Elephas maximus indicus: one gene and its partners. The protein of the gene in region 1 purifies or fractionates together with the protein of each later gene. This does not show direct contact. Links are inferred from orthologs where the notes say so. Each region holds a gene or a part of one and is shown on either strand. Other genes may lie near its edges.

The links.
Region 2: the proteins of VAPB (region 1) and OSBPL10 purify together in Homo sapiens (affinity purification with mass spectrometry; 4 studies listed by BioGRID and IntAct, counting the BioPlex papers as one, with this or other methods). This does not show direct contact. The link is inferred for Elephas maximus indicus from reciprocal best matches to the Homo sapiens genes VAPB and OSBPL10.
Region 3: the proteins of VAPB (region 1) and VPS13A purify together in Homo sapiens (affinity purification with mass spectrometry; 3 studies listed by BioGRID and IntAct, counting the BioPlex papers as one, with this or other methods). This does not show direct contact. The link is inferred for Elephas maximus indicus from reciprocal best matches to the Homo sapiens genes VAPB and VPS13A.

Annotation. Positions count from the first base shown.
Region 1 is NC_064843.1:10,890,829-10,894,574, reverse strand, and holds the start of VAPB (vesicle-associated membrane protein-associated protein B/C), read left to right. Parts: upstream 1-1,015; 5' UTR 1,016-1,247; coding exon 1,248-1,305; intron 1,306-3,746. UniProt on the Homo sapiens protein: Endoplasmic reticulum (ER)-anchored protein that mediates the formation of contact sites between the ER and endosomes via interaction with FFAT motif-containing proteins such as STARD3 or WDR44.
Region 2 is NC_064845.1:7,589,787-7,593,532, forward strand, and holds the start of OSBPL10 (oxysterol-binding protein-related protein 10), read left to right. Parts: upstream 1-1,041; coding exon 1,042-1,475; intron 1,476-3,746. UniProt on the Homo sapiens protein: Probable lipid transporter involved in lipid countertransport between the endoplasmic reticulum and the plasma membrane.
Region 3 is NC_064827.1:93,519,495-93,523,240, forward strand, and holds the start of VPS13A (intermembrane lipid transfer protein VPS13A), read left to right. Parts: upstream 1-742; 5' UTR 743-908; coding exon 909-1,008; intron 1,009-3,746. UniProt on the Homo sapiens protein: Mediates the transfer of lipids between membranes at organelle contact sites. Binds phospholipids. Required for the formation or stabilization of ER-mitochondria contact sites which enable transfer of lipids between the ER and mitochondria.

The DNA of each region.
Region 1 (3,746 bases):
ACCAGCTTCTTCTATGTGTGTGTGTACCAGACACCACTTGCTGTGAATCGACTCCGACTCACAGTGACACCATGTGTGTCAGAGAACCATGCTCCACAGAGTTTTCAGTGGCTGATTTTTCAGAAGTAGATTGCCAGGTCTTTCTTCTGAATGTATAAGACAGTAATAAGAACACACATTTTATGTAGCAAACATTCTGTAATAAAATACAAGTTCGATGGCAATAATGATGCAGAATGTTCCACTTTGAGGTCAAGCTGATCCCAGCAATTTTTAAACCTATATTTACGTGTATGGTTATTTAATGAAAGGACGTCGCTCCACTAGGCTGTACTATGAAGCAAGAGGGTAGGAACTACGTCAACTTTCCTGACCTTTGTATCTCTAAATATTTGTTGCATAAATAGCGTCTATTAGCAAAGATACAGCACAGTGCTTGGGACATCATAAACATTCAGTGTATAAAAGCTTTTATTTATTATAGTGGCTGTTATTACTGAAAGCATTCAGCTGTCTGGCACAAAATAAGCAAGCAATAATTGGTCGTTTATTATATTTATAATTATTAGTTACGATACGTTACAGCGCCTAGCACGTATCATTCACTCATAAACATCATGTTTATAATAATAAGATGAATAAATAGTACTTTCATTATTGCTCAAAGCCTTTAACAGTGCCTGGCACTAAATAGGCAAGGGAAAAGTGGAGTTTATCCTTATTAATTATCATTATTGAATAGAGCACTTAACGCAACAGCCGGCCCCCAAAAGGCCCTTAAAAAATGAATAGTCTTCACCCAGACTGTCATTATTTCTGGGCAGCCCGGAGCGGCCCCGCCTCCAGGGCTGCACGAAGCCCCGCCCCTTGCTGCATGGCAGCCCCGCCCCCCTGCGCCTGCGCACTGCTGTAGGGGAGGGCTCCGCCCGCAGCCTCCCTCTCCCGCCCCTGGAGCCGGCGCAGGGTGCCGCTTCCCGCCGCGTGCGTGCGTCGCTGCGTGCGTGCGTGCGTGCGTGCGTGCCGTCAGCTCGCCGGGCACCGCGGCCTCGCCCTCGCCCTCTGCCCCTGCGCCTGCACCGCGTAGGTCGCCCCCGCCCCCACGCACCCCGTCGCGACCCCCGCCAGCGCCCCGCTGGCCTGTTTTTTTTTTTTTTTTTTTAATTTAAAGGGGGCGCAGCATTAACGCTTCCCGCCTCAGTTGACTTCTCAGGGGTCTCCCCACCAAAGGTGCCGCGCCGCCGAGGAACATGGCGAAGGTGGAGCAGGTCCTGAGCCTCGAGCCACAGCACGAGCTCAAATTCCGAGGTAAGCCGCGAAGGCCCCCGGGCCGGCCGCCATGTTCCGGCCAGGCCCGGCCGGCGCCCCGCGTGGGCTGCGCGGCCCCACCCCAGTTCTGGGGGTGCAGGCCCGGCGCCCCCACAGCTGTCAGGAGCCGCCTGGGCCGGAGAGGCCGCGCGCGGGGGCCCAGGCTGCTTTGCCGCCCCGGCCTCTCGGGGCGCCTCGCCTTCGAGGCACTTGTCACAGTTGTCATTGTCACTGTTATCGCCTAGTTTAGTTTGTGGTCTGCTCTGGAGTGTAAGCACTCTTCACGAGATTGACCTCCTAGGTCTCAGCCCGGATGTCCCCAGCTGGTGACCCAGCTCTCTGTTCTGTGGTCTGCAAGGCACTGGTCACCATCCAAACTGCCCGCTAACTAACTTGTTTTCTGTCTTCAATGCTAGAAGGGAAACTCCATGAGGACAGGATTTGTCATTCATCCCCTGTGCACTCGTTAGGCGGCCAGTCGCATGCTGAGCAAATGAATGAAAGGAACTTCCGCAGGAGTTGTGATAGGACATGGCCCAACTTTCTTTCTAGTGTCTTTTTGCTCGCTTATGTCCTGCAGCTGGGGCAGTGCTGACAGAATGGTTGGATCCGATTTCTCCCCAAGGCTGCCTGGAGATGGAGCTGAGTAGCACGTGAGTTTGTGGCGAGCCAGAGCCTCGGTTCCTAGGTGCAACTTTCGTCTTGCTCACTTGTACCTTTACATTTCTTAGCTTTTTTTGGACTGTTTTCGCCACCAGAATACAAGCACGTGAGACAACAGGCACCTTGTCTGACTTGCTCATAGATTCTTTCCGCATGTGTTGAGCTTTTAATGGTGTGGTGGGCGTGTGCTTGGCACTGGGAGACAGCGGTAAACAAGATGGACAAGGTCCCTGCTCTCAGAGAGCTTACATTCTAACTAAGGGAGACAAACACACCAGCAAACAAACTCACAGGATCATTGTGGATTATGTTAAGTGCTGTGAAGGAAATAAAACGGGCTGACCTGTTGGAGGGACACTTTAGATTGAACAGCCAGGCACCACTATATCACCAGCACCTGGCCCACAGTAGGTACTGAATAGGTGTTTTTGGAATGAATGCTGGCCATAAGCACCCAGTGACTATGCACTGTTAGGAAGCAGTGTAGGGTGACTAGCCCAGAGTTACCCAGTTGGCAAGCGGCACATTCAAACCCAGACTTCAAAGCCTGCATTTTTCATTGTTATGCTGTGTGACCCCTGGGAAATACTCCAGAACTGTGACTGTCACTTTGCCTCCTAGGTACACAATCTGAAATGACTCCAAATGGACCTGAAGGTTTTCCAGTTAAGATGAAAACAGCAAAGCAAAACACAAAAACCTAGCACAGGTCACAATTCTGTGACAGTACTTTGGTTTGCATGATGTTCTCATGGCCTTCTCCTGGAGGAGCTGGGCTGGGGAAGGAATCTGAGTGCCTGAGTGGATGTGGTGAGAGATGGTTTCCACTTGAGTCGTCTGAAGTTCTCTGTCCCGGGAAGCCTGACTCGGTTGCTCCTGTGACTTGGTGTGTTCATTCGTTTAGTCCACAAACACTTACTGAGCGCCTACTATGTGTCAGGTGCGAGGAGAAGCTGAGTCACATGAGATGTACTTCTTGCATTGGCCCCTAGCTCACCACCCCAGTACCTAAGTTTAGGGAAGGGGTCAGCTGAGCCATTTGATAAGGAGGTCAACTCCTAGAAGAGGTATCATTTGAGCTGAGTTACAGAAGTCGAATGGAAGTAGGCTAAAAGAAGTGGGTGGGGACCATTTGAGGTAGAGGGAATTGCATATACAAGGTGCAAAGGCTGGGATGACTGGACCCCTTTGGAGTGCTGCTAGTAGTTCTGAATGATAGCTGCAGAGAGCATTTGTTGGAGGTGCAGGGCCAAGTGGAGATGAAGCTGGAGAGTGGAAAGAAGTTGGACATAGCGGTGTTCCAGTTACCCTCATGGGCCTCTCGTCAGACAGTCCTCCCTGGATTGACCCCCAGCGGTTCCAAGCCCCCACCCCAGCACCAACACTGCACCAATGCGATGTTATGGAAAGAGGCACCGATTTGAGAAAGTGCAAGTTCCAGTTCTTTTGACTTTGGGCGGACCTCTTCACTTGCCAAAATCTGGAACTACTTTTCGTCAATAGGGATGATGCGCACGTCCTACAGAAAGCTTCGTTGTTTAGAAACAGTTATCTGTGGCCGTCCAGTGCTTTGTAAATACAGAGATTGGTGATTGCATCTAGACAACTGGTTTCATGACTTCATCTTTTCAGTGCTGTTATGACTGTTCAGTGCTTTATAAATGCAGATATTGGTGGTTGTATCTAGACACCTGGTTTCATGACTTCACCTTTTTAGCGGTGTTATGACTATTCAGTGCTTTGTCAATGCAGATATTCGTGGTTTTATCTAGATACCT
Region 2 (3,746 bases), on another chromosome or scaffold:
GCTGGAGGGGGCCATGAGCCAAGGAATGCAGGCAGCCTCTAGAAGCCTGAAAAGGAAGGGATTCTCCCCTCCTAGAGCTTTCAAGGGGCACAAGCCCGTCAACACCTTGATTTTAGCCCTTAAGCCCTCTTTTCAGACTTCAGACCACCAGAACTGTAAGATAAGAAATTTGTGTTGTTATAAAAACCCCCTTAAAACCCATTGTTGTGGAGTCGACTTCCACTCATAGTGACCTTTTAGGAAAGAGTAGAACTGCTCCACAGGGTTTCCAAGGAGCGGGTGGTGGATTCCAACTGCCGACCTTTTGGTTAGCACTTAGTGGTAGTTTTTTATACCAGCAATAGGCAAGTGAGGCGCCTAGGTAAAAAATTTAAGGCAGTACCTGCATGAAGCTGAGGGTTCGCCTGCCTCAATCCTGTCCCGGCTCTGGTGTCCATTGCGCGTTTATCAGCATTCTCACGCTCGCAGCGAGATTACCTGCGAGAGCGATTCGCAGCAGAAGCCGAGGGCCTCGGTGCCCGGTACCTACTCTGCCCAGGAGGCTGATTTCCAGGTTCCTGCCTACGTGTGTCTGGCCCACACTCGTGCGCAGAAGAGAAGGGCAGTGCTCTTGGGCTGTGCTGGGTCGGCCCGGTCCATATCCGGGCGGATGGGGTGGGTGGGGCCGCCCCCCTCCGGGTCCCGAGGTGGGTTGGGGGTGGGGAGTGACGCGCGCGGTTTCCCTTTTGGCCCCCCGTGATCAGACAGGGGGCTACGCAGGGAACGTGGGGTGACCGGGCGTGCCTTTCGGACGTGCCCGCCCTGCGGATCGCGCCCCGGAGCGCCCTCGCCCCCAGGCCCGGGCAGTCGCAGAGCCACAAGGACAGGGAGTGGAGGCCAGCGCTGGGGCGCGCCGAGCCGGCCACCGCTCCGAACTGGCCCGGGAAAGTAGTGCGGAGGGCGGAGCCGGCCGGGCCTGCGGGAGGAGGGGCGGCCGCAGCTGCAGCCCGCGCTTGGCTTCCGTCCCAGCTCCCCTTCCCCTCCTCCTCCTCGTCCTCCTGTATGAGTCAGGCGTTTCCCGGGGATTGGGAGCAGCCGCGCGCCGCCTGGCCGCCGGGAGCTGCAGCCGCCGCTGCCGCCACCGCGCCCCGAGCCCAGCGCCCGGGCTGCCACCGCGGCGGGCACTCGCGCCCCGGGCGCGCACGGACCATGGAGAGGACGGCCCCGGGCGTGGAGGGCGGCGGCGGCGGGGGCAGCGACAGCAGCAGCCGCAGCAGCAGCCGCGCCACCTCGGCTGGCTCCTCGCCCTCCTGCTCCGTGGCGGGCCGGGGGGTCTCCGGCAGGTCGCCGGCGGCCGGGCTCGGCGGCGGAGGCAGCCGCAGCAGCCCGGGCTCGGTGGCCGCTAGCCCGTCCGGGGGAGGCGGCCGCCGGAGGGAGCCAGCGCTCGAGGGCGTGCTCAGCAAATACACCAACCTCCTCCAGGGCTGGCAGAACAGGTAACGCGCCCGCCGCCGCGCAGTGTGTGTGCCGTGTGCGCGCGCGGTGCTGCCACCGGCGGACCGGCCGTGCCTCGGCACCGGGCCCTTCCTGCGTCCCGGCTCCCCCTCGAGGTGGGGTCCCCAGGTGGGGGCGCGCCAGGACCCCACCCGGGACCGCACCGCAGTGGCAGAGAGAGGCCAGAGCCCTTGTTTTCTTCTGTGCTGGCACTTGCAGGCACTGGAGTGGCAGGGGAGCGTCCTGGTCCCCGTGCCTGGCCTGCCAGCGGTTTCCCCCACCGGTGAAAATAGCCCAGAAAGGGAGGCAGAGAGGGCCGGCTTTGGGCTTGGCAGCAAAAGCGTTAACAGTCTGGTCCATTCACAGCAATTCTCTTCACAGAATAGTCCGGTTTAAACTTTGGTGATTAAAACAAGAGCAAGCACCACAAAGCCCCTGCCACTTGTCGTCCTCGGCGCCCCCTAACGCGCGTGTAGCACCCCCTCTCCGGTTGGCCATTCGAACCTCCAATCTCTGCAAAGGAAATTTAGTGGGGTTTTTGTTCGTTTGTGTGTGTGTGTGTTTTAAACACTCTCTCCCCTTTCGGTATGGGCGGCTGGCTTTTTACATTGTTGTTATTTCCCCCCTTGATGCTTTTTGAAGTTTTCTGCTCACTCTCCTACAGCTGGGAATATGGACACGTGGGCGGATGAGAATGTCCTGGGAAGCGACTCCAGCACACTTGGGGTGGTAGTAGTGCATGGACTATTGGAATGAGGAAGATTTTCAAATGAGTAGAAGTGGTATTACTCTTTAGAACGTTTTCCTTTGTTTTTTAAAAAGAGGAAAAAAAAAAAAAAAAAAGAAGCCAGAGGGAAATATGAGTTGTCCATGCAAGTCGAAGAGGCCTTTCTGGAAAGGGGGTCTTGTCTTTGCCTTTAATAGCGGCATGGGTCTTAATAGACGAGGGACTCTTAGTGATGCTGTGCTTTCTGGATCACCCTGTGGGGGGTCTTGCTTATCTCTCTGTTGGTTAACCCAGATTATTGCTTGGTGGTCTGTCTTCCTGTAGCTTGTTTGGAAATGTTCAGCTTGGACATCCCAACTGAAGTATGACCTGCAGACGTGCATGAAACTCCACTAGGAAGGTGATGACTTCCAAAGTATGGAAACTAGGTGGTTTTTATATTGATACAGAACTTTCCCAGGCTCCTGGGTTTCCTTGGAGACCTGTTACTAAGTTAACCAAAGTTGCACTTTAACTTTTGAATCCTTGTATTTCTCAAAATAACCACAGTGTTGGCTCTTGCCTCTCCCTGTCCCCTTTCAGTTCTTGAGAGCTGAAAAAGACTAGGTAGAGTGGGAAGGGTGACGGAGAAGAGGTGACCAAATCTGACTTTCGTTCTTGGTTATTGTGTCTGGTTAATGGCGCCCCAGGGTGCCTTGTCAGTGACAGCGTTTTGTTTGTGCGTTGAGCAATCACTTTTAATGCTTTTTCTTCAAGTACCTTATGATGCCAGCAGAGCTTTTGCCCTGGATTACAGTTACTTTCCTTGCTTGGGGACACTGATGGTTTCACCTAATTGTAAATCCACTGGGGAGTGTAGATGGGAGGCAAAGTTGAGAAGAGGTAAAATCGCCGTCATCATCTTGTGTGATTGCAGGGTGCGTAGGTGAAAGAGGTGTCTTGTACACTGTTGCATTTATTTACTGTGATTTACAGCTGTCTGCCTATGTTTGTTCTACCGACCCTAGAAGCATTGTCTCAGTCTAATGGTTAATGCTTTAGTGTCAGGATTTATACTTCCCACATCCGCGTTCTCTGAACGATGGCTGAGGGTTCATCAGTGGTCTGGAAAACATTTATGATGGCTCTGTGATTGCACACTCTTGCTTCTCAAGGAGCCTTCTAAAGAGAAACCTGGATTAGTGACTAGAGAGAAGAAAATGAAGATAAGAAACTTGAAAATGTGTTCATTTGTTCATTAATAGATTCAGTGATTATTTTATTGAGCACCTGGGCGATCCGATTCCAAAAGTTCGCAGCCTTGGGAACCCTGTGCAGCAGTTCTGTTTTGTAGACACAGGGTGGCCATGAGTTGGAATCCACTCGAGGGCAACTAACAACTACAAACCAAACCCATCCTTCATACTCACAGCAACCTACAGTACAGAGTAGAACTGCCCCCATAGGGTTTCCAAGGGTGTAGTCTTTGTGGAAACAGACTGTCACATTTTCCTCCCGTGGCAACTGGTGGGTTCCAACCACTGACCTTTTGGTTAACAGTCAAGCG
Region 3 (3,746 bases), on another chromosome or scaffold:
CTCACAACTCTGAAAGGAAACGTGACACTCTATGGGATGAAAGGCTAGTCCCTGTAGATTCCTTGACCAAAAAAGGGTGCCCATCTCCAGTGCAGGGAAGGGGGCGTGAATTCTAATCCCGCGTTTACTCTTTCTTTCTCCCCACGATTTACAGCCGGGAAGTCAAAACACCTCAAGGGCAGGTGCTCCGTCCTCGCGCCGCGCTCGGAGGACCGGGAGCGGCAGTTACAGGCGTCCAGACACCCAGGCTGGGCAGACCCAGGAAGCCGGCAACACCCCAGGCGTTGCCTCGGAACCTGTAATAATGGGGGTGGGAAGTGCTTCCTGAGACACCCCTTCTTGAAGGCCCCCGTCTAACAAGGAATGGGTTCAGCATGCCCCCTCCTAAAATCCCCTCTTTTAGGCGCAGGACTTTTGACCCCCTCTTAGGGGCGGGGCGCTCCCGTCGGATCGTAACCGCCGCGTCGCGCCCTGCGTCTGGTCTGGACGCGCGTCGTCCGCTAGGGGGCGCAGTGGGAAAAACCTTGCAGTTCTCGCTGCGTGGCCCGTTGCCGGGAGATGAGAGGGGGAGGAGGGGCCGACGGGAAAAAGAAGCCCAACTTGGCCCAGATGGGGCAGGCGCAAGAGTCGCGGCCGCGCAGCCGCCAGTTTTCCCTTTCGGGCCGGCGAGCCCAGGTTGGCGCCGCGCTCAGCCCCACCCCCGACCCGAGCTGCGCACGCGTCGCGCACGCGGCCGCCTCCGCCCACCGCAGGGCTCGCGACGGGCCTGCGCGTCTGGCCAGTGGTGGCGCTACAGTCGGAGGCGCGCCGGGGCCGGTGAACCGAGCGTTCTCGAGGGAAGGGTACGAGGGGAGGTGCAGGAAGAAGGAGCGAGGGGGCGGCTGCGTCGCCCGCTGCGGCTCAGGAAAATGGTGTTCGAGTCTGTGGTCGTGGACGTTTTGAACCGGTTCTTGGGGGACTATGTGGTGAACCTGGACACGTCCCAGCTCTCTCTGGGCATCTGGGGAGGTAACGAGAGCGCCGCCGTTCCACAATCTCACCTTCCTCCTGCTCCCCTAGCTGCCCGAGCCGGGCCCTGTCTGGTTTTGGGCTTCAGGCCCTTTCCTCCCCAGGCGCTGCCACCCACCTGCCGCCTGCCTTTTTGGCTCAGGTTGCGTAAACCGGGTGGCGGTGTCCGAGCTCTCGCCCACGAGTTGTTTTATTTTATCGGGTGGGTGAGGGATGAAAAGATCCCCGTTTCCGAGCGGAGCGGTGGGCACCGATCCATGAATCTTGAGTTCAGATCCCACCGAGGAACCCTTTCTGCCCGGCGCGGTCCGGCTTCAACTGCGCTGGGCGAAAGGAAGCGACGAGACGCTCCCGGGTTTGGTTTCATCCCTGTCATTTTCCCCCTTGGGTTATGCTGCAGGCCCCAGAGAGCCTACGAGTGTGGCACGCTGCCTCGCACGTGAAGGCGAGGTGCTGTGACAGAAGACGCCCTCCTACTTCTTTCCCAAACCTGTTTTCGCTAAACCCAGGGTGTTTTCCGGCTCCCCCTTCAGGCTACACAACCTAGACTCCGGGTTGCCTCCCAACGTTCGGCTGATAACCAAAAGCGAAACTCCTGTGCAGAATATTTCAAATGGTTGGTTGTGTTTTCTAAGTTCACAACCTGACCAAGAATGTGTCACATCTGTGAGGCTTTGGGATTTTGTGTGTCAGAGTGACTTACTGAATTAAAAAAAAAAAAAAAAAAAAGGTCCTCCGTCCGAGAGCTCAGACCTACAAAAAAGACGGGGACGAACTTGAACTTAACGCTCCTTAGATGGTGCAGGACCGAAGCTTTATTTTGTCTCAGTTTACGGTGATGCATCATCTTATTTAGAGCCTCATTTTTAGTGCTTCCATCTGTTTTTGTATTATACCTTTATTTACTTTAAACACCCATTAGAAATTAGAGTGCTTTATGAACTAATTTTCCATGCCAGTCAAAGCTAGGGTTTATTTTTTGTGTGAATAATATATTCTGATTTTTAAAAAAGTGATTACGTTTTCTTGAATATGTACTTACTTTCACCCCTCTAAAATACTTGTTTATCTTGATTTTTCTGGTTTATGAAATAGTATAAATAGGCAATTTATTTTGATGAAGAAAACCTCTTGTTACTGATGTTTGGCATGATAGAGTGGAGTACAAGAACTAAAGACATCATAGTGCCAGAAGCTTGCATATTGTTTAACCTGTACTGCTCCTCAATTGCAAAGTAAAAACAATATAGGTCGTCTTCGCCAAACTGGGAAGGAAACCTTAAGAACACATATGAGAGACATGCTTTGATTTGTAGTGGAAGGTTGTTTTTAAATTCAAGATGAAAGTTTGTGTAGAGGGTGATTTATCAGCGAATTTATTTGTTTAAAATTTACATACAGTAAAATTCATTCTCGAGGTGTACAGTCCTATCTTGACCAATGTGAAGGGGCATGTGCCTACCATCACAATCATGGTATAGAAATGTCCCATCAGCCCCCCAAAATTCCCTCTGCTGTTCCTTTGTAGTCTGCTGCCTACCCCCACACCAATTTTTGCAACCACTGATTTGTCTTTATGTGTACAGTTTTGCCTTTTCCAGAATGCCATATAAATGGAATTATATGGTATGTAGCCTTTTGGGTCTGTTTCTTTCACTTAATTTCACTTCTTTCACAAAATGCATTTGACAGTCATTCATGCGTTGAGTGCATTCCAATGTATATATTTTTATTGTTGTAGAAATACACACACCAAAACATTTACCAGCACAACTTCCGTATTTACAATTCATTGACATTGATTACATTTTTCATGTTCTGCCAATTATTGCTATCCTGTTCCAAAATATTTCAGCACTATTGACATAAACTCAGTGCCCCCCAAAGACTCCCTTTTTCTCCCTCCCTCGCCTTGCAACCATTAATAACCCTTTACGTCTATATATTTGCTTATTTCATATAAACCCATTACCCACTGCCATTGAGTAAGTGATATTATACAGTATTTGTCCTTTTGTGGCTGACTTATTTCACTCAGCATAATGTTTTCAGGGTTCGTCTATGTTGTGGCACGCCTCAGAACTTCATTTCTCTTTACAGCTGGGTAATATTGCATTGTATTTATATGCTACATCTTGTTTATCCGTTAATCTGTTGTTGGACATTTCGGTTGTTTCCATCTTTTGGCTGTTGTGAAAAGTGCAGTGAACATTGATGTACAGGTTCCTGTTTGTGTTCCTGCCTTCACTTCTTCTGAGTATATACCTAGAACTGGGATTGCCGGGTCATGTGGTAATTCTGTGTTGAACTTTTTGAGGAATGGCAAAAATGTTTATCCATAGTGGCTGTACCATTTTACGGTCTCACTAGCAGTGGGTGAGGGTTACACTTCCTCCCCAACCTTGTCAACACTCGTTTGCCGTTTTTTTTGATCATTTCTATTCTCATGGGGGTGAGGTGATACCTCATTGTAGTTTTGATTTGCATCTCCCTAATGGCAGTGTTGGAAACCCTGGTGGCATAGTGGTGGTTAAGTGCTGCGGCTGCTAACCAAAGAGTCAGCAGTTCGAATCTGCCAGGCGCTCCTTGGAAACCCTATGGGGCAGTTCTACTCTGTCCTGTAGGGTCGCTATGAGTCAGAATTGACTCAACGGCACTAGGAATGGCAGTGTTATGCTTGAGCCCATTGTTGAGCTCCTGGGTCAATCCATCTTGTCCTTGAGGTCTTCCTCTTTTTC